Linked DNA regions of Struthio camelus. The protein of the gene in region 1 purifies or fractionates together with the protein of each later gene. This does not show direct contact. Links are inferred from orthologs where the notes say so. Each region holds a gene or a part of one and is shown on either strand. Other genes may lie near its edges.

Region 1 (7,727 bases):
ACTCAGAACTGTCTCCAGTTATAGTTTAGAAACTTAACTCTGGCAAATAAGATGATATTTTGTCCTCCTCTGAGGAAATGATATGTAGTCATGAGCTGTTACCTAATGATTTGTTTGTTATTTATCTGTACAGTAAATTACATTGTTGAGAGAATTTGTTTTAAGATATTTTTATTTTAAATATGGTTAGAAGACTGAAGGACGGTCTACTGCAAGAAACATCTTTGGATGTTTTTCTGCCAAACTCTGCATAAAATGTTTCACCCATGAAATCATTTGGTTCACGTATGAGAACCTGTAGGAAATGGTTTGGAGCTGTTTAGCAAAAAGTACTGGGGCATTATTTTTCCTAGACAGTCCTGCTTTCGGAGAGTTAGGAGAGGACTTTTTTACCTTAACTTGTTGCACGGTGCTGAGCTAACAACTCTCCTAATATTTCTGCTCCAAGAAAGGATTCAACCATTAAATAATTATAAATAGGAGTGCAAGGAGAACTTGACTTTCTTACTGAAATGTCACATTGAGAAGTCACTTCTTTCTCCTCCTTCTCCCCCGTCAAAATACTAAAATTCATTGTCCTGCAGCAGTGTCTATTAAATGAAAATACAAAGCAGAGCTCTGAGAGTTACTGTGCGATAGCTATTGATATGGAGCCCAAAAGCAGTAAAACACTTAATGCTCTAAATAGGAAATCAAGTGAGTATTTTACTCTCGGCTCCTGGGATAAGGAGGCCAGTTCCTTATTTTGCTGATGCAACATAATTTTTTTTCACGCGTCTCCATGGGAGTGCTGAAACAGTTGCAGGCTTGTAGAGTTCAGCACTGCATTTTAATTACTCTTAAAGCTAATAAGTTCACCGTTTAAGAAAAAAGTGTACATTTGGATATTAACACTATAATTAGGAACTATAGGCTATTTAAAAGGCTGTTAGCAATGCTGTGACGTTACATATTGAAGAAGAAGGAACAGTCTGATGGGAAAACATGCATACGCGCTTAAATTCTTCTGCTAGAGCTGCTATTTTGGTTTGTCATGGTTCTTGCTGTCCTTTCATGATGCTGCCTTAAATAACTTTGCGTGCACAGCTGTGGCTGCCAGTGGATACTGAGACGGTGCCAGTGCATCTCAGCAACATCGCTTCTTGGGACAGGCATTTCCACTGGCCTCGGAAGGCCACTAAATTTGCCGCCAGTATGCCGAACATACTGAACAAAGGGGTGACCCTGCTGTTGCCTGGTGGTTACTGAGGTTTAAATCCTGCCCAAGGAGGTGTTACTTAGCTCAAAACTTTGTGGTGCGTGTGCGTGTGTGTGCGTGAGTAAAAAAAATTATTGGGATGGGGTTGGAATCTGATTATGTCACACCTTTTATGGCTGATTTCCCCATGCTGTCTGCTAACTGCCTGCTGTGGTTCCTGAAACACAGTTCTAAAGCATATATTTAAAGAAAGATTCTTGTGGTGAAACTTAACTCTGGCAGCGTGCTGTAGCATTTAAATAAGCTTCTGCTCTCGTTTGTCATTCTCTTTCACAAATGCTGTACCTTCGCATGTGGTGTTAGTTGACAAATGATAGTAGATGCTCCCTTTTATCTTAATGATTTTAAATAAAAAACAGGAATCACTGCTTAAAGTGTTATACTCTGTCATATGTGAGATGTTGCTGATAACTCACAGTGGCCTGATAGGATTAACCCAGATGATTTCCCTCCAGTGGTGTTGGCAGGTATATTTTTTAATCATCTTCTTCCTAGTATGTTAGCTTCAAATCAGGTGCTTGGCTGTTACACAGAAAGTATGGAAAAATAAACAAACATAGCTGTGAGCAGTTGTTAATGATTTATGGTATTTTATAGTCCCTGGATGAGTTTGCTCTTCTAGCGATCGTATCCGAGTCCTCCAAGCGCGCTGGGCCCGGCCAGTGCCGCCTCTTGGCTCTGATGCAGTCCAAACAGTCTCTAGGTTTGCAGATTAAACCTTTTCCATAGATGGTGATTACCACCCACAAGACTTTCCTGCAGCAACCTGAGGCCGCTAATGGTATGGCATGATACAGAAACAGGGTTCTTCAGCATAGACTATGATCTCTCTGTCAGGCTCTAGCCTGGACTTGGAAAAATGGGTTAAACACTAGAGATACCTGTATGCCCGTTGTGTCTGGTATTCAGCATTCTTTTAAGTCTGAGAGTTACTCTGTTCTTGCTTGCCTTTGCTCTCTGTCTCCTTATGTCATTCTTGACCATTGCTGATGCCCCTTGTACAGCCTGTTCCAACTCACTTCAGCTCCACTCCTCTAAGCCTGTGATCCTTTAATGGTCTAGTATCCTTGAGGATGTCAGCGGCGGATTCCTCAAATACCAGCATTCCCCTTATTCCTCTGTGCATTCAGGGCCTTTAGTCGAACTCCACTTTATCATGTTCTCTGTTACCAAACCCTTTTTACCTCCCTTACAGCAAGACCGAGGACTACTGTGTTGCAGGCAAGACTCAAGAGTGTCCCCTCTAGCAGTGCCCTGCTATGTGCTGTGCTGCTCCGCTGCAGTACTGTGCCATAAGCTTCCTCCCAGGGCACCTAAGGCATGGGCAGCAGGCTCAGGAATCCAACTACTCTGGCAAGACAACCATTGAGTGAGGTCTGCCTCTCATTAGAGGACTGAATGAGGGAGAAATTAATGGGCCTAATACTTAGTGCATGATGTTTGAGCAGTCTGGAGCAGCCTGTGGCAGGTGTTTGGGATATCAGCATTCTCCTGAGGGACTTCAGAAAGTACCTATGATTGCAACAGTTCTGCTTTAAAGGAGCACATGAGTAAAAATACAGTTGTAGAGACCAGCCTGCTCCATCCTTGCTCTTAAACTTGTTCCCAGGCTGTGATATGATTACAGACTTTGTGGAAAGGAGCTATTTCATTGCGGGGTGCGTAGAGCCATCCTTAGAACTGGACAGAGAACATTCAGACCCAAGTTCTGTTGCTCATTTTCATTTATAATGTGAATAATTGGGATGCAGCCTCATGACATACATTCTGAAGAACGTACGGGGAAGATCAGAGTCCTACACAGTGTGCGCTTGTGGTGTTAACATGGTTTAATTTTCCTGAACTGCAGCAGGTAGAAGTCAAGGAAATTCACAATATTCTTACTCATTCTCTCGGCTGTGTGAACGTCTTCAGTGGTATTTCTGTACCTGCTGGGCGTGCACATCCCAACAAGTTTCACAAGCCCTGCATGTGCTGCCACCTCATCTTCTCTCTGCCCGCTCTGCTCTTGTAGCATTTCTGCATCACTGCACAAACTGCACAACTAGAAATTTTAAGTCCTACAGCACTGGCAGGTTTAAACCAGAGTCCCATGACCCACTAAGCATAGAAACAGGATTTTTATGTCATTGAAGGGGAAAGGAAAGATTATTCCCTGCTTCTCAGAACTGCTAGTCCTGCACAGCCCTTACAGATCACATCTTAAATGTTTTATCATATAGAGAAGGATTTCGCTTTTTTTTTTTTCCTCAGCATAAATGTGACAATTCCTCCCTCCCTGGCGTGACGTGGATCCTCCGGGCAGACGAATCCAGAGTAGAACTTAAACGTTTTAGCAGGGAAGACAGTAATAGAAATAAACGGCTGGAGTAAATGGAGTTTTTTTTCCCCCTGAAGTTCTCACATCTTGTCTGGATGCTGCTCTGGATGTCTCGCTTCAGCCAAGCGAATAACTAGAGCCAAGTCACGCCGAGAGTAGCGAGGAGGTGACGGGGCCTCCTGCGCGGGAGCTGACCCGGCCCCGAGCTGCCGCAGCCAGGCGAGGCCGAGCGCGCGTTCTGCTCCGCGGAGCGTTTGGCGCCCGAGAGCTGCGTTATCCCCGGCTCGCTTCCCTCGGATCGCGTACGTGGGCGCGCGCGTGCGGGGCTGCAGGCAGGAGAGAGGCCTGGAAAGGAGCGGGGCTCGTTTGGCTGGTGCGAGAGGTCCGCTCCGTGCTGGGAGGTTGGGTCAGGCGAGGTTTGAGGGCAGCTGGTTGCTTGAAGGAACTGGGCCAGACTGGAAAGTCTTCAAAGCTGGGAGGACGGTCTCTAGCGGGACTGGCTTTAACAGCCTCCCCTAAACGCACCGTCCAAGTAGTACAGCATTTATTACGATCGCCGCTAAACTTCGGTGCAGCATGACCGCACCGGATGCGCTGCCTTTCCGAGCTCCTGGGCGCGCTCCGATCCCGCCGGCGCAGGGAGGGAGACCAGCTCCCGGGCTCCCCAGCACCCCGCTCCCTCCCGGACGGGAGGCTGGGGGAGACGCGCGTGCCTCCACCCCCAGGCTCTGGGGCCCCAAAACAGCCTCCGCGAAAAAGTGCCAGGGAAGCAGGTGAGGGGGCCGCTGGACGAAGGGATGACGCAGCTGGCTCCGGGGGAGCCCTCCCAGCAGCCACCCCGCACAGCGGCAGCCTAAAAGCGCAGCGAGTCCCCCCCAGCCCGCAGACTTGCCAGCGCGAAACTCTCCGGCAGCTGGGGCAAAAAAAACACGTGTGCGCCCAACGTGGGGCTCGAACCCACGACCCTGGGATTAAGAGTCCCATGCTCTACCGACTGAGCTAGCCGGGCGCCGCTGTGGTACGCTCCCGCCGCGCGCTCTTGGCGAGTTGACGGTCGCGCGCGTGCCGAGCGGCCTGACGTCACCAGCCTGCGGGCGGCTCCTCCCTCGGAGCCCCGCCCCGCCTGCCCTCGCCCACTCCGCGAAGGGAGATTTGAAGCCCTCTCCAGGGGAACGCTGATTGGCCGGTGCGCCGGCCAATGGGAGCGCGCGTTGTTGGGCCGTGAGCGAGCGTGAGTGAGCCGGCGGCGGGAGGGGGCCCCGTCGGCCTGGACCGAGCGCGTCGCCGCCGCCGCCGCCATGAGCTCTATCGGCACCGGGGTGAGTGCGGGCCCCGTCCTGTCCTTCTCCCTCACTCACCCGCCCCGGGCCGCTTTGTGTCAGCGGGGGGGGGGCGGGGGGCGAGCAGCCTGCCCCCCTCGGCCGCTCCCGGCGAGGGCGGCCGCCGCCGCGGCCTGTCACTGCCTGCGCGGGCCCGAGGCGCCGTCACCGCCGCTGCTGAGTCACTGCGGCCCGTTAGGCCGCGGAAACGGAAAGCGTGAGGCGGGGGGAGGAGCCGCCGGTGAGGGGGCGGGGTGAGCGCGCCCGGCCCGGCCCGGCCCGGGGGGACCCGCCCGGCGGGTGGGGGCGAAGCCGCCTCAGGGCCGGCCCGGGGCGGAGCCGGTAAGCGGAGCCGAGCCTCGTGTTGCGCAGCTGCTGGATTCCCCTCTCGGCGCCTGCGCTCGGATCCCGCGCGGGTTTCCCGGCCTGGCAGAGGTCCGGCAAAACGTACTGTGCTTTCAGAACTACAGGGTGTCTGGATCGAGCGGATTAGAAGTATGAGTGTATCTAGCGCGGATGCAGCGACTTTCTGTAGTTGTTAGCCAGCGTTTGCTTGTTGCCGTTCATGCACCTAACGTGAGAGAACAGCCTGCTTATGGTGCTTAATACACGCTGCTGTCGTGCAAATGACAGTCTTGCAATTTTAAATAAATAGACCTGTTCTGAAAAGGCTTACTCTGAAAAAGGGCATTAAAAAAACTGTGGGATGTAATGCTTTTTGGCTGAGTAGTGTGTTTTCTTCTTCAGTACGACCTGTCAGCTTCCACGTTTTCTCCAGATGGCAGAGTATTTCAAGTTGAATATGCTATGAAAGCTGTGGAGAATAGTAGGTAAGATACAAATATCTATCTGTTTCTTAGTTGGCATCTCTTTAAACAAATAAAAACGATGGCTTTGCAGATATAACTTCTTCTGATAATGTAATTTTGAGCAGCTCTGTCCCTATCCTCATGTTAAGAGGTTTGGAATAAAATCTAAAGGCATATAACCACTTCTGCTTGTTCTGCAGTGTGGTAGAAACAGAGATAATGTTGCTGAGAATACAAAGGCAAGCAGTATACTTACTCGTGCGTGTTAAGGGCAATAAAAGAGGATCGCAGGACTCATTAGTATGTGTAAGGTGCTTAGCTATTATGGCAATACAGGTGTAGAAGTACCTAAAAGTCCATTTTATGGCTGTGAATTGAGGCACTGGAAAACTGTGACTTGCTCAAGGCCTCATAAATTTATAGTAACATCATTTGGCTATTCCCAGTTTCTTGAGGAATGTATGTCACTCTAAAGCAATAATGTCTGCTTCCTACGAATATGTGTCTTCCTTCAGGCAAAGGAAAGCTGTAAAGCAAAAATCCCAGCTGTGCTTGCTAGTAGCAAAAGTGAGATGGATTAGCAGGGCATGGACAAGATCAACACGGGTGTCTGGTCACAGCGCATGCTACCTACTAAGGATTAGTGAGAGTATTTTGTGTGGGGTACAGCTTGTGTCATGTTTGGTGATTTATGCTTGATCATGCCTTCTTGGAGGTTAGAGACTGTCACATTGCTTAGATCCTAAATTTACCAAAGAGGAGAGATTAAACAGTCCCTTGTTTTCATATTAGTATTGTACGGCATGTGCTTCTCCAAGACAGTGCTACAACTGCATGTCGTCTTGTCCAGAATTACTTGGACAGGGACTTGGCAGTCCCCTCCACCTTCACGTAAGAACGTTTTTGCAGGTTTAGTGAGCTTCCCGCTCCCACCTCCACCCCTGTCTTCAATGTTAAAATGGAGTCATACTTAGATCATACCATAGATCTGCTTCTGTGGAAAATAAATCATTATTTTTAGCATTTTGTTAACTCTCTGTTATTTACCTTGACGTCTAAATCCATTGCACTTCTGTGTAAGTGAAACTTGCATTGATCTTGTTTTTCAGTACAGCAATTGGGATAAGGTGTAAAGATGGAGTTGTGTTTGGAGTAGAAAAACTAGTTCTGTCCAAGCTTTATGAAGAAGGTTCCAATAAACGTCTCTTTAATGTTGATCGACATGTTGGAATGGTGAGGTGCTATTTAACTTTAATTTTTCACAAAGGAATCCCCCCGAAGTAGATGCATGTGGATCAGAGAATCAGTAATGAATAGATGAAGTAATATAACTTTTTCTACACACATAGTCAGAAATGCCAATGGATTTTTAGATTGTTTTGTGTAACTTACTCTTGGTTGTGTGTGAACGTACGTTTATTAGAAGTAAAATATGAATTTAAAATAGAAGATAGGTGCATATTTTGAGGCTATTCTAAATTTATTTGAAGAAGTTGTGCTAATATTCCTATTCAAATTTGAATAGGGTGTTAAAGTTGTCTTTTGTTAACTCGGTAAACAAATAAGGCATGTTAAGAAGCAAAACCTACTTATGCCATGTCACTTATGTACAAGAGTCTCTTTTCCATCTTAATGATCTAGGAGTCAACTGACTTCTGTAAGGGCTACCATGTAGATTTTATAGATTACTGGCTAATCTATAATAGTAATGTCTGCATAAATAGTGGTTTCTGTGTGACAGAAATGCCTGAAAGTATACCTACTTACGACATCGCTAGTATTGGGAAGGGAGTCGGGTTTGCTTGTAATCCAGAAAAAAATCATACAAAACAGAAAAGGAATGCTACATTGCTATGGTTATCTTTTTTCATATTGCTGATGTTAACATAGTCTAGTGGTAAATCATAAGACACTATTTAACATGAAGATGACTTCACTTTATGTGTTAGTACAGTATAGAGTTTTTCTTTAGGAAAATCAGTACCATGTTCATACACTTTAATTGTTAACAGGTGGAAAGC
Region 2 (7,117 bases), on another chromosome or scaffold:
GTGTCTGGGGAGGGGCCCAGGAGTCCGGGAAGGGGGCCCAGGCGTCTGGGGAGGGGCCCAGGCATCCGGGGAAGGGGCCCAGGTGTCCGGGGAAAGGGCCCAGGTGTCCGGGGAAGGGGCCCAGGTGTCTGGGGAGGGGCCCAGGTGTCCGGGGAGGGGCCCAGGCGTCCGGGGAAGGGGCCCGGGTGTCTGGGGAGGGGCCCAGGAGTCCGGGAAGGGGGCCCAGGCGTCCGGGGGAAGGGGCCCAGGCATCCGGGGAAGGGGCCCAGGTGTCCGGGGAAAGGGCCCAGGTGTCCGGGGAGGGGCCCAGGTGTCTGGGGAGGGGCCCAGGTGTCCGGGGAGGGGCCCAGGTGTCCGGGACAGGGGACCCAGGTGTCCGGGGAGGGGCCCAGGCATCCGGGAGAGGGGCCCAGCCGTCCGGGGGAGGGGCACAGGCATCTGGGGGAAGGGGCCCAGGTGTCCAGGGAGGGGCCCAGGCATCCGGGGAGGGGCCCAGGCGTCCGGGGAGTGGGCCCAGGCATCCGGGGAAGGGGCCCAGGTGTCCGGGGAAGGGGCCCAGGCATCCGGTGAAGGGACCCAGGTGTCCGGGGGAGGGACCCAGGTGTCCGGGGAGGGGGCCCAGGTGTCCGGGGGAGGGGCCCAGGCATCCGGGGAAGGGGCCCAGGTGTCCGGGGAGGGGCCCAGGCATCCGGGGAAGGGGCCCAAGCGTCCGGGGAAGGGACCCAGGCATCCGGGGAAGGGGCCCAGGCATCCGGGGGAGGGGCCCAGGCGTCCGGGGGAGGGGCCCAGGCGTCCGGGCGAGGGACCCAGGCGTCCGGGGAGGGGCCCAGGTGTCCGGGGAGGGACCCAGGCATCCGGGGAGGGGCCCAGGTGTCCGGGGAGGGACCCAGGCGTCCGGGGAAGGGACCCAGGCGTCCGGGAAAGGGAAGCATGCATCCAGGGGAGGGGGGCCCAGGCATCCGGCCCCCCCCCCCCCCACCATCTCCCCACTCCGACCCGCCATCTTCCCCCCCCCCCCCCCCGTCTCCCGCAGGCGCCTGGTGGCCTCGGCCGGCGGCTGGACGGCCCTGCTGGCCGGGGGGCTGCTGGTGGCCGCTTGGCCCCTGGCCCGGCCGGGGGGCGGCCGCCGAGGCGCCCTGCTGCGAGCCGGCGGCCGCTTGGCCGTGGCGGCCGGCCTGGCCCGCGCCGCCCCCCGCCTCTTCGCCGCCCTCGAAGCCGCCACCGGCCGCTGCCTGCCGGCCGCCCGCCGCCGCGGCCTCCCGCCGCCCCCGGCCCAGGCCGACCCCGGCGCCTGCCGGGCCGGCGGCCACCGCTGGGAGGGTCTCGCCGTCTCGCCCCAGGCCTTCGCCCTGGTGCACTGCGGCCTGGGCCTGGCCGAGGAGGCCGCCGCCTTGGGCCGCCTCTTGCACCCGCCGCCGGGGCCCAGGCGTCCGGCTGCCCGGGCCCCCGCCCCCTTTTGGGCTCCTCGTTTGCTGCTCCCTGTCCGCGAGCTTCCCCGAGGGCCCAGGCGTCCGGGCTTCGGCTCCTCGTCTCCGCTCCGCTGGGCCCAGGAGTTCGAGGGGCCCGGGCGTCCGGGTGCGATCTCGTCGTCCTGGCCCTGGGGGGCCCAGGAGTCCGAGGGGCCCGGGCGTCCGGGTGCGATCTCGTCGTCCTGGCCCTGGGGGGCCCAGGAGTCCGAGGGGCCCGGGCAGCTGTGGGGGGCCCAGGAGTCCGAGGGGCCCAGGCGTCCGGGCGTTCGGGGAACAGAGGCGGAGGAGGAGGAGGAAGGGCCCAGGCGTCCGGGCACGGCCCTCTGCCTCCTCTTCCTGCTCAACGTGGCGCTGCTGCTGCTGTGGCACGGGCTGCTGGCGGCCACGCTGGCCTACCGGCACGACTGGGCCTGCAACGCCGCCGGCGCCGGCCTGGGCTGGGCCGCCTGGGCCCTCACCTACCGCCTCTGGTACCGCTGCCCCTGCTCGCCCGGCCGCCCCGGCCTGGGCCTGCAGCCCCGCTGAGGGGCCCCGGCGTCCGGGAGGGGCCCCGGCGTCCGGGAAGGGCCCAGGCGTCCGGGCGACCCTACGCGCAACAAGGCGCGCCCGGGCATCTGGGTAGGACCTAGGCGTCCGGGAGGGGCCCAGGCGTCCGGGCGACCCAGGCAATGGGGTTACCCGTACATCTGGGAAGGGCCCAGGCGTCCGGGAGGGGCCCAGGCGTCCAGGCGACCCAGGCAATGGGGTTACCCGTACATCTGGGAAGGGCCCAGGCGTCCGGGAGGGGCCCAGGCGTCCGGGTGACCCAGGCAATGGGGTTACCCGTACATCTGGGAAGGGCCCAGGCGTCCGGGAGGGGCCCAGGCATCTGGGAAGGGCCCAGGCGTCCGGGAGGGGCCCAGGCGTCCGGGCGACCCAGGCAATGGGGTTACCCGTACATCTGGGAAGGGCCCAGGCGTCCGGGAGGGGCCCAGGCGTCCGGGCGACCCAGGCAATGGGGTTACCCGTACATCTGGGAAGGGCCCAGGCGTCCGGGAGGGGCCCAGGCGTCCGGGTGACCCAGGCAATGGGGTTACCCGTACATCTGGGAAGGGCCCAGGCGTCCGGGAGGGGCCCAGGCGTCCGGGTGACCCAGGCAATGGGGTTACCCGTACATCTGGGTAGGACCTAGGCGTCCGGGAGGGGCCCAGGCGTCCGGGCGACCCAGGCAATGGGGTTACCCGTACATCTGGGAAGGGCCCAGGCGTCCGGGAGGGGCCCAGGCGTCCGGGCGACCCAGGCAATGGGGTTACCCGTACATCTGGGAAGGGCCCAGGCATCCGGGAGGGGCCCAGGCGTCCGGGTGACCCAGGCAATGGGGTTACCCGTACATCTGGGAAGGGCCCAGGCGTCCAGGAGGGGCCCAGGCGTCCGGGCGACCCAGGCAATGGGGTTACCCGTACATCTAGGAAGGGCCCAGGCGTCCGGGAGGGGCCCAGGCGTCCGGGTGACCCAGGCAATGGGGTTACCCGTACATCTGGGTAGGACCTAGGCGTCCGGGAGGGGCCCAGGCGTCCGGGCGACCCAGGCAATGGGGTTACCCGTACATCTGGGAAGGGCCCAGGCGTCCGGGAGGGGCCCAGGCGTCCGGGTGACCCAGGCAATGGGGTTACCCGTACATCTAGGAAGGGCCCAGGCGTCCGGGAAGGGCCCAGGCGTCCGGGCGACCCAGGCAATGGGGTTACCTGTACATCTGGGAAGGGCCCAGGCGTCCGGGAGGGGCCCAGGCGTCCGGGAAGGGCCCAGGCGTCCGGGCGACCCTACGCGCAACAAGGCGCGCCCGGGCATCTGGGTAGGACCTAGGCGTCCGGGAGGGGCCCAGGCGTCCGGGCGACCCAGGCAATGGGGTTACCCGTACATCTGGGAAGGGCCCAGGCGTCCCGGAGGGGCCCAGGCGTCCGGGCGACCCAGGCAGTGGGGTTACCCGTACATCTGGGAAGGGCCCAGGCGTCCGGGAGGGGCCCAGGCGTCCGGGTGACCCAGGCAATGGGGTTACCCGTACATCTGGGAAGGGCCCAGGCGTCCGGGAGGGGCCCAGGCGTCCGGGTGACCCAGGCAATGGGGTTACCCGTACATCTGGGAAGGGCCCAGGCGTCCGGGAGGGGCCCCGGTGTCCGGGAGGGGTGGGAGGGTGTCCTGGGAAGCCCCGAAAGCCCAGGGCAGCCACGTTTCCCGGAGGGGCCCAGGCGTCCGGGAGGGCGTCCCAGGACTCCCCCAAAACCCCGGCCATGCCCCGGCAAGGGCCCAGGCGTCCGGGCGAGCCGATCTCAGCGATGGCCCCCCCTGCCCCCCCGCCAGGCCCCTTGGCGGGGACGGGGGGGCCCAGGCGTCCGGGTGAGGTGGGGGCCCAGGCGTCCGGCTTGGGGTGGGGGGATGGGACTGCCCCCCCCCCCGCTACCTGGACCGGGAACCCCGGGAATAAAACGTGTTGTTTTGGGGTGGTTTCGGGTAATTTTTTTCCCCTTTTTTTTTTTTCCGGGGGGGCCCAGGCGTCCGGGGGGGGCGGGGCGCACTGGCCCCGCCCCCCCCCCCCACGCGGGGAACCCCCGAGCTTTCGCTTTCGCTCTCGCTGCTGCCCCCATGGCTGCACCGCAGGTCCGGGGGGGGGCCCAGGCGTCCGGGCCGGGGGGGGGCCCAGGCGTCCGGGGCATGTCCGGGCAGCTCGGCTTGGGGAGGGAAGGAGGGGGCCCAGGCGTCCGGGAGCGGGGCCGGGGTTGGGGGGGGGGAGGGGAGCGGAGAGGGAGCAGGTGTCCGAACGGGGAGGGGCCCAGGCGTCCGGGGAAGGGGAGGGGAAGAGAGAGGCTGCAGAGGGGCGGGGCAGGGGCCCAGGCGTCCGGGCTTGAGGGGGTCGTAGGGGCCCAGGTGTCCGGGGTGTGGGGTGGTGGGGCCCAGGCGTCCGGGTGGCGAGTTGCAGTGGGGCCCAGGCGTCCGGGTGGCGGGACCCAGGCATCTGGGTGGTGGGGCGGATGTGGGGCCCAGGCGTCCGGGGTGCGGGTTGTGGTGGGGCCCAGGCGTCCGGGGTGCAGGGTGGGTGTGGGGCCCAAGTGTCTGGGTGGCGGGTTGCAGTGGGGCCCAGGCGTCCGGGCAGTGGGTTGCAGTGGGGCCCAGGCGTCCGGGCAGCGGGACCCAGGCATCTGGGCGGTGGGGCGGATGTGGGGCCCAGGCGTCCGGGGTGTAGTGGATGTGGGGCCCAGGCATCTGGGCAGCGGGGTGGATGTGGGGCCCGGGTGTCCAGGCAGTGGGGTGTGTGCAGGGCCCAGGCGTCCGGGTGGCAGGTTGCAGTGGGGCCCAGGCGTCCGGGCGGTGCAGGGTCCGGGCGGAGGGGCGGGTTGTGGCAGGGCCCAGGCGTCCGGGTGGCGGGGTGTGTGCAGGGCCCAGACGTCTGGGGTGCAGGGTGGGCGTGGGGCCCAGGCGTCCGGGTGGTGGGGCCCAGGTGTCCGGGGTGGTGCATGGCGAGTGCAGGGACCAGGTGTCTGGGTAGTGGGGCCCAGGCGTCCGGGGGGTGGGTTGCGGCAGGGCCCAGGCGTCCGGGTGGCGGGTTGTGGTTGGGCCCAGGCGTCCGGGGTGCAGGGCGAGTTGTTGTGGGGCTCAGGTGTCCGGGGTGACAGGGCCCAGGTGTCCGGGTTGCAGGGTGGGTAGTGGCGGGGCCCAGGCATCTAGGGTGCAGGATGGGTAGCAGTGGGGCCCAGGTGTCCGGGGAAGGAGCCCAGGTGTCCGGGGAGGGGCCCAGGTGTCCGGGGAGGGGCCCAGGCGTCCGGGAAGGGGCCCAGGAGTCCAGGGGAAGGAGCCCAGGTGTCCGGGGAAGGGACCCAGGCGTCCGGGGAGGGGGCCCAGGTGTCCGGGGAAGGGGCCCAGGTGTCTGGGAGGGGGCCCAGGTGTCTGGGGAGGGGCCCAGGCGTCCGGGGAAGGAGCCCAGGTGTCCGGGGAGGGGCCCAGGTGTCCGGGGAGGGGGCCCAGGTGTCCGGGGAGGGGGTCCAGGTGTCCGGGGAAGGGGCCCAGGTGTCCAGGGAAGGGACTCAGGTGTCTGGGGAAGGGGCCCAGGCGTCCGGGAAGGGGCCCAGGTGTCCGGGGAGGGGCCCAGGTGTCCGGGGAAGGGGCCCAGGCGTCCGGGGAGGGGCCCAGGCGTCCGGGGAAGGGGCCCAGGCGTCCGGGGAGGGGGCCCAGATGTCTGGGGAGGGGCCCAGGCGTCCAGGGAAGGGACCCAGGTGTCCAGGGAAGGGGCCCAGGTGTCCGGGTGCGGGGCCCAGGCGTCCGGGGAAGGGGCCCAGGTGTCCGGGGAGGGGGCCCAGGTGTCCGGGGATGGGCCCAGGCGTCCGGGGAGGGGACCCAGGTGTCCGGAGAAGGGGCCCAGGTGTCCGGGGAAGGAGCCCAGGTGTCCGGGGAAGGGGCCCAGGCGTCCGGGGATGGGCCCAGGTGTCTGGGGAGGGACCCAGGTGTCCGGGGAGGGGCCCAGGCGTCTGGGGAAGGGGCCCAGGTGTCCGGGGAAGGGGCCCAGGCGTCCGGGGAGGGGGCCCAGGTGTCCGGGGAGGGACCCAGGTGTCCGGGGAGGGGCCCAGGCGCGCGGGCGCGGGGCCCAGGCGTCCGGGGAAGGGGCCCAGGTGTCCAGGGAAGGGGCCCAGGTGTCTGGGGAGGGACCCAGGTGTCCGGGGAGGGGCCCAGGCGCGCGGGCGCGGGGCCCAGGCGTCCGGGCGCGGGCCCAGGCGTCCGGGCAGAGCCGCGGTGCCGGCAGGAGGAGGCCCTGCGCGCCCGGCTGGCGGCCCAGGTGCAGGCGCTGTTGGGCGCCGGGTTCCCGGCCAAGGTGGCCGAGCTGCAGGCGCTGCTGGAGGTGCCGGGGGGCGGGGCCTGTGGGGCGGGGGCGGGGCCTGTGGGGCGGGGGGTGGGATCTATGGGGCCGGGGGCGGGATCTATGGAGCTGGGGGGGGGTCTGTGGGGCTGGGGGCGGGGCCTGTGGGGCCGGGGGTGGGATCTATGGGGCAGGGGGCGGGATCTATGGGGCAGGGGGCGGGGTCTGTGGGGCCGGGGGTGGGATCTATGGGGCCGGGGGCGGGATCTATGGGGCAGGGGGCGGGGTCTGTGGGGCTGGGGGGGGTCTGTGGGGCTGGGGGGGGTCTGTGGGGCGGGGGACGGGGTCTTTGGGGCTGGGGCTGGGATCTATGGGGGCCCCATGGGGCAGCAGAGGGTCTTTGGGGTCGCTATGGGGCAGAGGAGGGGCCCTATGGGGCTCAGGAAGGTCTACGGGGTCTCTATGGGGCTTCTATGGGGCAGCAGAGGGTCTTTAGGGTCCCTATGGGGCAGGGGAGGGGCTCTATGGGGCACAGGAAGGTCTATGGGGTCTCTATGGGGCAGGGGAGGGTCAATGGGGTCTCCATGGGGCAGAAGAGGGTCTCCAGGAGGTTTCTATGGGGCAGAAGAAGGTCCATGAGGTCCCTATGGGGCAGGGGAGGCTCTATGGGGTCCCTATGGGGCAGGGGAGGGTCTCTATGGGGCAGAGGAGGGTTTCTATGGGGTCTCCGTGGGGCAGAAGAAGGTCTCCAGCGGGTCTCTATGGGGCAGAAGAAGCTCCATGAGGTCCCTATGGGGCTTCTATGGGGCAGCAGAGAGTTTCTATG
Region 3 (7,769 bases), on another chromosome or scaffold:
TATTCCTGTTTTTGCAGAAGAGAAAGTTTTCTTACCACACTCTGTATAAGCACTCCAATGAAAGACTCCATTTACATCACTGAAAATTATGCATACAAGAACAATTATGCAAATTAACTGACAGACATTATATCTAACAAATCCCAGTTTTAGACGTCTTTCCCTACTCAATTCACGACATCAGACAGCTGAAGCAGCTGCATTTAAGAAAACTACATGTAAGTCATGTTCTCAGCTGTTGCACTACAAGAAATAACAAGATTTTTGGTTCAGCTGTCATCATGAAACAGTAACTCGTATAAAAAATTCCCATTTTGAGTTTTCACTTTCATTCCTCATACCTCCAGAGTCTATGCACAGCTGTATAAAGTTGCAGTGTACCTGAAGAGGTAGAGCTATACAGGTATATAACCCATGCATGCTTTTTTTTTTTTTTTTAATTCATATGTTTGCATATGTTACATTGTCTGTCTATATTAGCATTTTTATCTGAACAAGAAAGATTCAAGACACACCAGCCATAATTCCAATTTATAAATTACTTCACAGAATATTATAAGAATACTGACTTTTAAAATATAGACATGTAATAAACTAGGCAGAGATCTTATGACAATTCTGATCATTTTCAGGTTAAACAAATGCACAATTTATTATAGCTGGCTAGCATGAAAAAAGGTATAAAGTTGACAATGAGATGAACTACTTACTACGAACAGATAATAAAGCTCTGGTTTTACTGTCATTATGTTATAATTTGACTTAGGCATGACAAATCAGAACACCATATTTGTACGTTTTGGAAGTATTTCATCTAGAGCTAAACTTTTACTGAAATATTTTATCCCACCAAACCGTTTTGCCAAATTAAACTGAGCAAGCAAAATATCTCTAATGTTAACTATACTAGCTTATTTTAAACCAACCCCACAGTTTTCTTCCCTGCCTACATCCAAACGTATTCAGTCTTACTGCATGTAATATGCCACAAAGAAGTCTTGGGAAAAACAGGCATCAGACAAGTTATAAAACACACACAGTAAATTTAAACTTCAAAGAGTAGGTGGAAAACCAGAAATTAGAGCCTCTGCCCTTTTTGTGATTCATAAAGTTAGCATAGCAGCTGTTCTCAACAGGTTAAATTCACTGCCCTGAAGCCTAAACTGATAACAGTAATTACAGTTTACAGAATGACTAGCAGGTTAATTCTAACCTATACCCGCACATCTTCAAAGCAGGTAACCGCAGGAGTTACTACCCTATCTAAGGTACATCTTTCTCTTACTAAGCACTGCTACAGTTTATTTCAGCTTGATTAGCATATGAAGTTCTGCCACAAGTCCAAAGACAACAGGCATCACTGTAAACGGCATGAGCTAGCAGATGGCTACGGAAGGGGGGGGGGGGGGGGGAAGAGTACTGAACTGGGTCCAAGCAGGTTCAGATCGTCTCTGAATGTAAACATGTGAGTCATTTCGCAACTATCAATGTAATTCTATCTAAGAATGCCTCTTGGCAAACATAAGGTCACTTACATTTCAATACATGTGTACCAACCAGATTTTTGACAGCCAGATATTTATTAAATTCCCAATACTTAAAAAAAAAAAAAGAACCCTACCTTATAGAAGAAGTAAAACTGCAAATGAATATAAATTCTACCAAATGCACGCATTCTGCCATTTCTAGCTCATAGAAAACACCAAGTATGAAGGGACACAGAACGTTCATCAAGAAGAGAATATTCAGAGGAATAAGGTGTGCCGATTGAAACTACAGCAGTCATTTGACACCATTTTTTAAGTGCCAGACTGGCCAGAATAGCACATGTGAAGAAAAAAAAAAAGGGTAAGTAAGTCTTGTAAAATTTACTAAGAGAATTCCACACTCTGCTTGGTATGAAAACACTGTGTTTTCAATCTATATAAAAATCATCTTGTCAGCACTCACATTAGAGCCAACATAAACTGCACCTTGCCACAGTACAGGCAAGACATAGAGGCATTTTTTTTAATTATTATTTTAAACTAGGGCACTAATTTTGTTAACCCAGCAGCAAAACCAGAATTTAATCCTTCCAGCGCCGAACTAACAAAAGCACAAGCAGCCTGTTTTCAGAAAGACTTCATGTTCCTACCGCAAAAGTTGTGAACAGAGATAGTATCTTCCGTAACTTGCTTGAAACGGCAAGAAAAGAAACAGGTGGTCAAGCGCGCATTTAAAAAGAAAACAGCTCGATTCATACAACTCGGAAAGCTTCTAAGACGACAGAGGAGCTCTGGGAAACGAAACCACCTTTGTCCCGGTTTCCCGTTTCGGAGCACTGCGTGGCCTTGTGCAAGAGGCCGGCTGAGCCCGCCTCGCTCCGGCCCGGAGGCCGCGCACCGCTCAGCGCACGTACCGCAGCCCCCCCCCCGCGGCCCTCGGCGCCCCGGCAGCGGCCGAGGGCAACCGCCCCGCTCTCGCTGGCGAGTAACCGTTAGGAAACCAACGCGCTTCTGCCGAGCGCCGGCCCGCCCGGCCCTCAGGCGTGCGCCTGGCCCGCCGGGCAGCCGTGAGTCACCCCGGCTTCGCCTCACGGCGCCCGGCAGCGCCCTCGGGCCCCGCTCCGCGGCGCTTCAACCCGCGGCCTGAACCTGCGCCACCCCCGACCGGGCCCCCGCGGGCAGCGCCGTTATCAGCGGCCCGAGACAACGGCCGCCGGCCTTGGCCGCGCAGCTCCCCGCCAGGGGCCGGCCCAGCCGCCCGGCTCGCCGCGCTCCCACCCCCGCCGCTGCCGACCCCTGGCGGCAGCGGACCGGCCGGCGCCGCCCCTCACGGCCGGCGGGGGCCGCTGAGCCCCGCACTCACGTGGAGAGCTTCCGGGTCCAGAAGAGCCCGCCGGGCCACAGCTCCTGCAGCTGCACGGCCCGGGCCAGGTTGCCTTTGATCTGAGCGAGGAAGCGCGTCGCCTCGGCCTCCAGGCAGTCCCCGTACGGCAGCAGCTTGTTGTACACGATCTCCTTCTGCGGAGCCGCCGCCGCCGCCATGGCCGGCGCTGCGCTGCGCTGCGCTGCGCCCTGCCCCGGCCCGGCCCGGCCCGGCCCCGGCTCGGCCCCCCCCGGCGAGTCGCCCAGCGGTGCGCGGTGACGACACAGCCGAAGGAACGGCCGCCGCCCCGCGCCGCCGAGGTCACTTCCGGCGCCGGAGTTGGGGCGGGGGGGGTCCCCGAGCACGGCGGGGAAGCGCCGCTGCTGGCCGGACACCTGCCCTGCAGCGGGCCCGGGTGGGCGGAGCGCGCGCGCAGGGCGGCCGTTAACGGCCGTGCCCGCCAGGAGACCGCGTCCCGCGTTACCGGCTGCGCTGAAGCCGCCTGCGCCGGAGTTGAGGGGAACCGGGCGGCGGCGGCGGCGGCGGGGGAGGGTCGTTCGCTGGATCATCTGGCGACCTGTTGTTACGTTTCGGTTTCGGCGACACCACAGGCGTTGCCTGGGGACAAACCTAGAATTAACGAGAACAAAGCTCGTGCTTTGTACCGTTTCATTTGTACTGCCCTTTAGTTGCTTTAAGCAGCATCAGTTTTCAAGAGGTGCTGTCACGTTTTATTCTGGGAGCCTACCTGGGCTTGTTCGCTGCTCTTTTCCTGTGTCAGTAACAGTGGCACAGCAATTCGGTAAGTTAGCCTGTTTGGGGTATGCTTTTCCTTACTATCCACAGTCAGCACTTTCCCTCTGCCTCTGACAGTTGTGCCGAGCGGTAGCTGTATCTCCTAATTCTGTCAACTAGGGACAAATGGGATATCCAAATAACCTGTGGCAGACTCAAGAGAACTGGGGCAAAAGGGGTGGCTGTAGTCAAGATACTGCCCTAGGCACCGAAATAAAATGACTTTGTGGAAAGGCCATAACTCCTACCCAAGTTTAGAATTCACTTTTTGTGGCTTTGTGGTTTATTAAAGAGCCCTTTTGTAAAGCTGCTCTGATCCCAACATAGAGATCATAATAAAAACATTCATCTTTCAGTTCTCTTCTAACTTCTGCAGTTTAGGACAGTTGGATGCTAGTTGTTCCCAAACGTATTTATTTTTGGTTAAAATTGGGTATCCAGATCCATTACATTAGCAGTTGTGAGCTAAATGCATGCTCCATTACTGATACAAACTGTATAAACTACATAAACCTTTTCCTCACAGGGGCTGAGATTTTCACAGTTAGATGTCTGAGTACCTTGGAGACTGGTATTTGACAGCCTTTAAGAATCTGCATATAAACTGCTGAGAGTGTCAATACCTGCAGTCTGATCGAGAAGCAGGGAGACTTCTAGAGGTCCGAAGCCATCAGAGCACAGTGCAGGTGATCATAGAGATTTGATGCTTAGACTTGCATAATAGCAGAAAGTTGTGTTTCTGCTGCCCTGCCTTCTTGTTCATTATGTGCTAAAAGAGGGTGTATAAACGTGGAATGAGGATGGACTTCTTCACTGGCGATAATCAGTTACAGAGTTTAGTAGCAGATTCTGTAACTGTCTGTTAAAGATATTTATTTGAAATAATAAGGCCAGTCAGTAAAGCGGAGCTCAGCGGTGCCTGGTCCTGCCGTTGACTTCTATGGGTGTAGGATAAAGCCTGTGATGGATATATGATAACAGTACTGATGGTTGTTATCTCCAGCTGTCTCCTAAATATAATTGTTAATTGAATTTCCCCTCAAGAACTACATCATGACTATACAACAGCTGCAAGCTGATTAGATTTAAAGCTGCTGACAAGGGCAAATCCTGTTTTCTGATCTTTATACTCAGATTAGCTCTGCTTAATTTTTTTTTTTTTAAATGGCTAACTAAATGCTGAAGCATTTTATAATGAGAAGGAAAGCCACAGAAAACCAAAGTAAGATAAGCAAAGGCTGTGATGCTCAAATATTCCCATGGCATTTTCGTGAAGAAAATATTTACTCCATATCCTTATACGACTTCTGTCTCAGATATTATTTTTGTTATCAGTGCAGAGCAATACTAAAACTGTGCAGCAGGAGATGATCTCGTGTTATATTCATGTGTCTGAAGAGTGACACTACTTTGCTTTACAGGGGTCAAGTAATAATCAGTGCTATAATGTTCTTTTGGAGAAAAGTACTAGTAAATCAGCATTATATAAATATGGTTTTACCAGGGGCCTAAAGGTGGTTCTATGCTACTCCATAGCTTTCCTATCATGAATTTTTCCCGTAACGTTTTGGGAAAGCAAAAGTTTATAACCACTTTTAGCACACCGAATTACTCCTTTTTTCAAAGCTTTAGTGAAAGTCATTATTCTGCATTATGGGCTGAGACTAGGATAAACAGATACTTTGCTAATTTCGCTTGACTAACGTATTAGAAGGGGTCCAGCCTTTCTGAACAGATACTGAAGAAACAAAGTTAATTCTACCTTTTCTCATTTTCCTAGACCTATACCTTTAATAGGGAAAATATGACAATTTTGTTGTGTGTTTAATACTTCTCAAATATCTTTCAATTCCTAAAAGATTTTGTGTCACCTATGTCTATTTTTACTATAATTTTAATTGTGATTTGGAGGGTATTTGTTGACATCTTTCATAGTGGCTTTAAAATTAGATTCTTTTGCCTCATATTTACGCTATGCAGAACAATCTATACATGAATTTGTGTTCAGGAGTTAAAAAAAATGAAACTTGATGGTCAAATTTCTATGTGGACAACTACGTCTTGTTTATTATTTTGCTGGTAAAAAGAGGAATAAACAAAAGGTGTATCTGAACACCATGAAATAAATGGTTTTATCATAAATTTAGATAAGAGTCAATTGATTAAGTGGCTCAGAAGCTGAAATTAAAAAAAAAAATCCATGGTTAAGGGTAAGTGAAAATGTCTATGGAATATTCTAAATGTGTCTTGAACCTAAGAAATCTGAAATTACTTCTTTTCTAACATTTACAGGCAAATCTTTTTTCCTACTCAGTTGTGATAGTGGATTGTCCAAACAGCAATTTCCAGTGTGGAAAAATGTTCATTACATTTGAAGAATGACAGAGTTTATTTAGACTTGGAAGGAAAAAAAAAAATCAGTTATAGTCCAATTTTTTGAAATTGAAATCGGCAGATATGTAAGGAACTTCAAAGCTGCATTCTGTTGCTTCATCTCTACATTATCACAAAAAACTAGAACTGTAGATATTCAGGGAATATCTGAATATGTAAACCACAGTTTCTGCCCTTTGGGCCTGAGTTTAATTTTTCACACTTTTCTAGGTGTTTTTCAATTTGAATAAACATTCCCAACCTCAGGGAGCTCATTTCATCTGAACCAGCAGACCTCCACATCTGTGACTGTTTTACCTCAGACACGCAAGTGCCTTCCACTGGAATTAAACACCTACCTTTCAGGAAAGATTGTGCGAAGTCAACAAGATCATCACATTAAAGTCATCATGCTAAATAATCTGACCCTCTCATTCTGAGAAATATGATTCTTGTTTTCAGAATCTGCAATGAGGAAAGAGATGATTCTGAGTCCGTTTGTAATTACATACATAAAAGCATATATATAGTACTTGTACTTTCCAACTATTTTCTGTATATTGATTAATTTACTAATAACATTTGTCAATTTAAAAAAAATGAACCATTTCTTTCCCCTAGTATGCTAACATTCTACTGTTTAAAAGGAGAAAAACAATGCGTTTTACAGATATGTTTTACCAAGTGAGTTAAAAATAAATTTGTTCTTCAAGTTTGCAATGTGTTTTGGCTGTAGCAGTGAGTAAAAGCACATTTGGTTCCCGAGTCAGATGATAAAGAACTAGCTTTCACAACAAGGAATCCGTCTGTGCTGCTTGCATCAATAGCTTTTTCCTCTCTTACTAAGTAGGAGGAATATGAATTGAGAGCAAACTAAATATGGTTGCCACCTGCTGTTTTTGGCATTAAATCTTGAGATTTGATGAATCCAAGTTAAGTGTTGAAGTTGTGAAAAAAATACAGTCTTTCCATTCATGAGAAATTTCAGACGTTAACAGGGGCTTATGTCAAGTTGCACATTGTTCACACGTTCCCTTGTTGGATGGCTTGCTGCCGTAGGTCAGCTAACACCAGCACTGTCATCAGTATTTAGGAAACTTGTCACTCAGCCTGAACTGTGGTTTCTACTATCTCATCTTTCAAGCAACTTCTTTTCCCACGTGGACGTTTTGTTTAGTGACCCATCTGTCCTTTCTGACCTAAGTTAAGAGTGGAATTTGGTGAGTGACAGGCTTCTGTGTATTTTGCAATTTGGAAAATAACACCCAATCCAACAGGATATGTCCTGGTCCGTGACCCCCATACCTCAGAGAACCCCACTACAAAATACAGTAGCATAATTTGCTTTCTTCTTTGAAACAGAAGCGTCCTCAGACTTACTCTTATCCCAGTGTGTCTCAGTCGGTCTGTCATCCAAAGCAGGTGGTGAAAGACTCCAAAGACCCTGAAGAAGCTGCTGCCATGCTGCTCACCAACTTTCAGGCAAGGTGGTAGTAACTTACTTTCTCCAAGAATAAGCATCTGTAAGTACTGCCTGCAAATCTTTACCCTAACAAGGGCATTTTAATTGCAAGGAGCTGCTCCCTTTCAGGATGGAGACCTGAGTCTGTAATTACTGCCTGCTCTGGAAGGGTATGCTCCCCTGCCTCAGGGAAACTGAATTGCTGCAAGGATTTAAAGGCGGAACCAGCTCCTTGGCTGGTGTAAACACTAAAGAGCAGTAATTACAGCTGCTCCTCTCCCCTCCTGCT

Evidence for each region.
Region 2: the proteins of PSMA3 (region 1) and PSME1 purify together in Homo sapiens (affinity purification with western blotting; 4 studies listed by BioGRID, with this or other methods). This does not show direct contact. The link is inferred for Struthio camelus from reciprocal best matches to the Homo sapiens genes PSMA3 and PSME1.
Region 3: the proteins of PSMA3 (region 1) and PSME4 purify together in Homo sapiens (affinity purification with western blotting; 3 studies listed by BioGRID and IntAct, with this or other methods). This does not show direct contact. The link is inferred for Struthio camelus from reciprocal best matches to the Homo sapiens genes PSMA3 and PSME4.

What each region holds. Positions count from the first base shown.
Region 1 is NC_090946.1:78,226,954-78,234,680, reverse strand, and holds the start of PSMA3 (proteasome subunit alpha type-3), read left to right. Parts: upstream 1-4,694; 5' UTR 4,695-4,876; coding exon 4,877-4,897; intron 4,898-5,644; coding exon 5,645-5,727; intron 5,728-6,815; coding exon 6,816-6,939; intron 6,940-7,727. UniProt on the Homo sapiens protein: Component of the 20S core proteasome complex involved in the proteolytic degradation of most intracellular proteins. This complex plays numerous essential roles within the cell by associating with different regulatory particles.
Region 2 is NC_090970.1:244,228-251,344, reverse strand, and holds the start of PSME1 (proteasome activator complex subunit 1), read left to right. Parts: upstream 1-4,023; 5' UTR 4,024-4,088; coding exon 4,089-4,103; intron 4,104-4,279; exon of another isoform or gene 4,280-4,638; intron 4,639-4,702; exon of another isoform or gene 4,703-5,238; intron 5,239-6,188; exon of another isoform or gene 6,189-6,218; intron 6,219-6,237; coding exon 6,238-6,333; intron 6,334-7,117. UniProt on the Homo sapiens protein: Implicated in immunoproteasome assembly and required for efficient antigen processing. The PA28 activator complex enhances the generation of class I binding peptides by altering the cleavage pattern of the proteasome.
Region 3 is NC_090944.1:119,473,587-119,481,355, reverse strand, and holds the start of PSME4 (proteasome activator complex subunit 4), read right to left. Parts: upstream 3,087-7,769; 5' UTR 3,030-3,086; coding exon 2,851-3,029; intron 1-2,850. UniProt on the Homo sapiens protein: Associated component of the proteasome that specifically recognizes acetylated histones and promotes ATP- and ubiquitin-independent degradation of core histones during spermatogenesis and DNA damage response.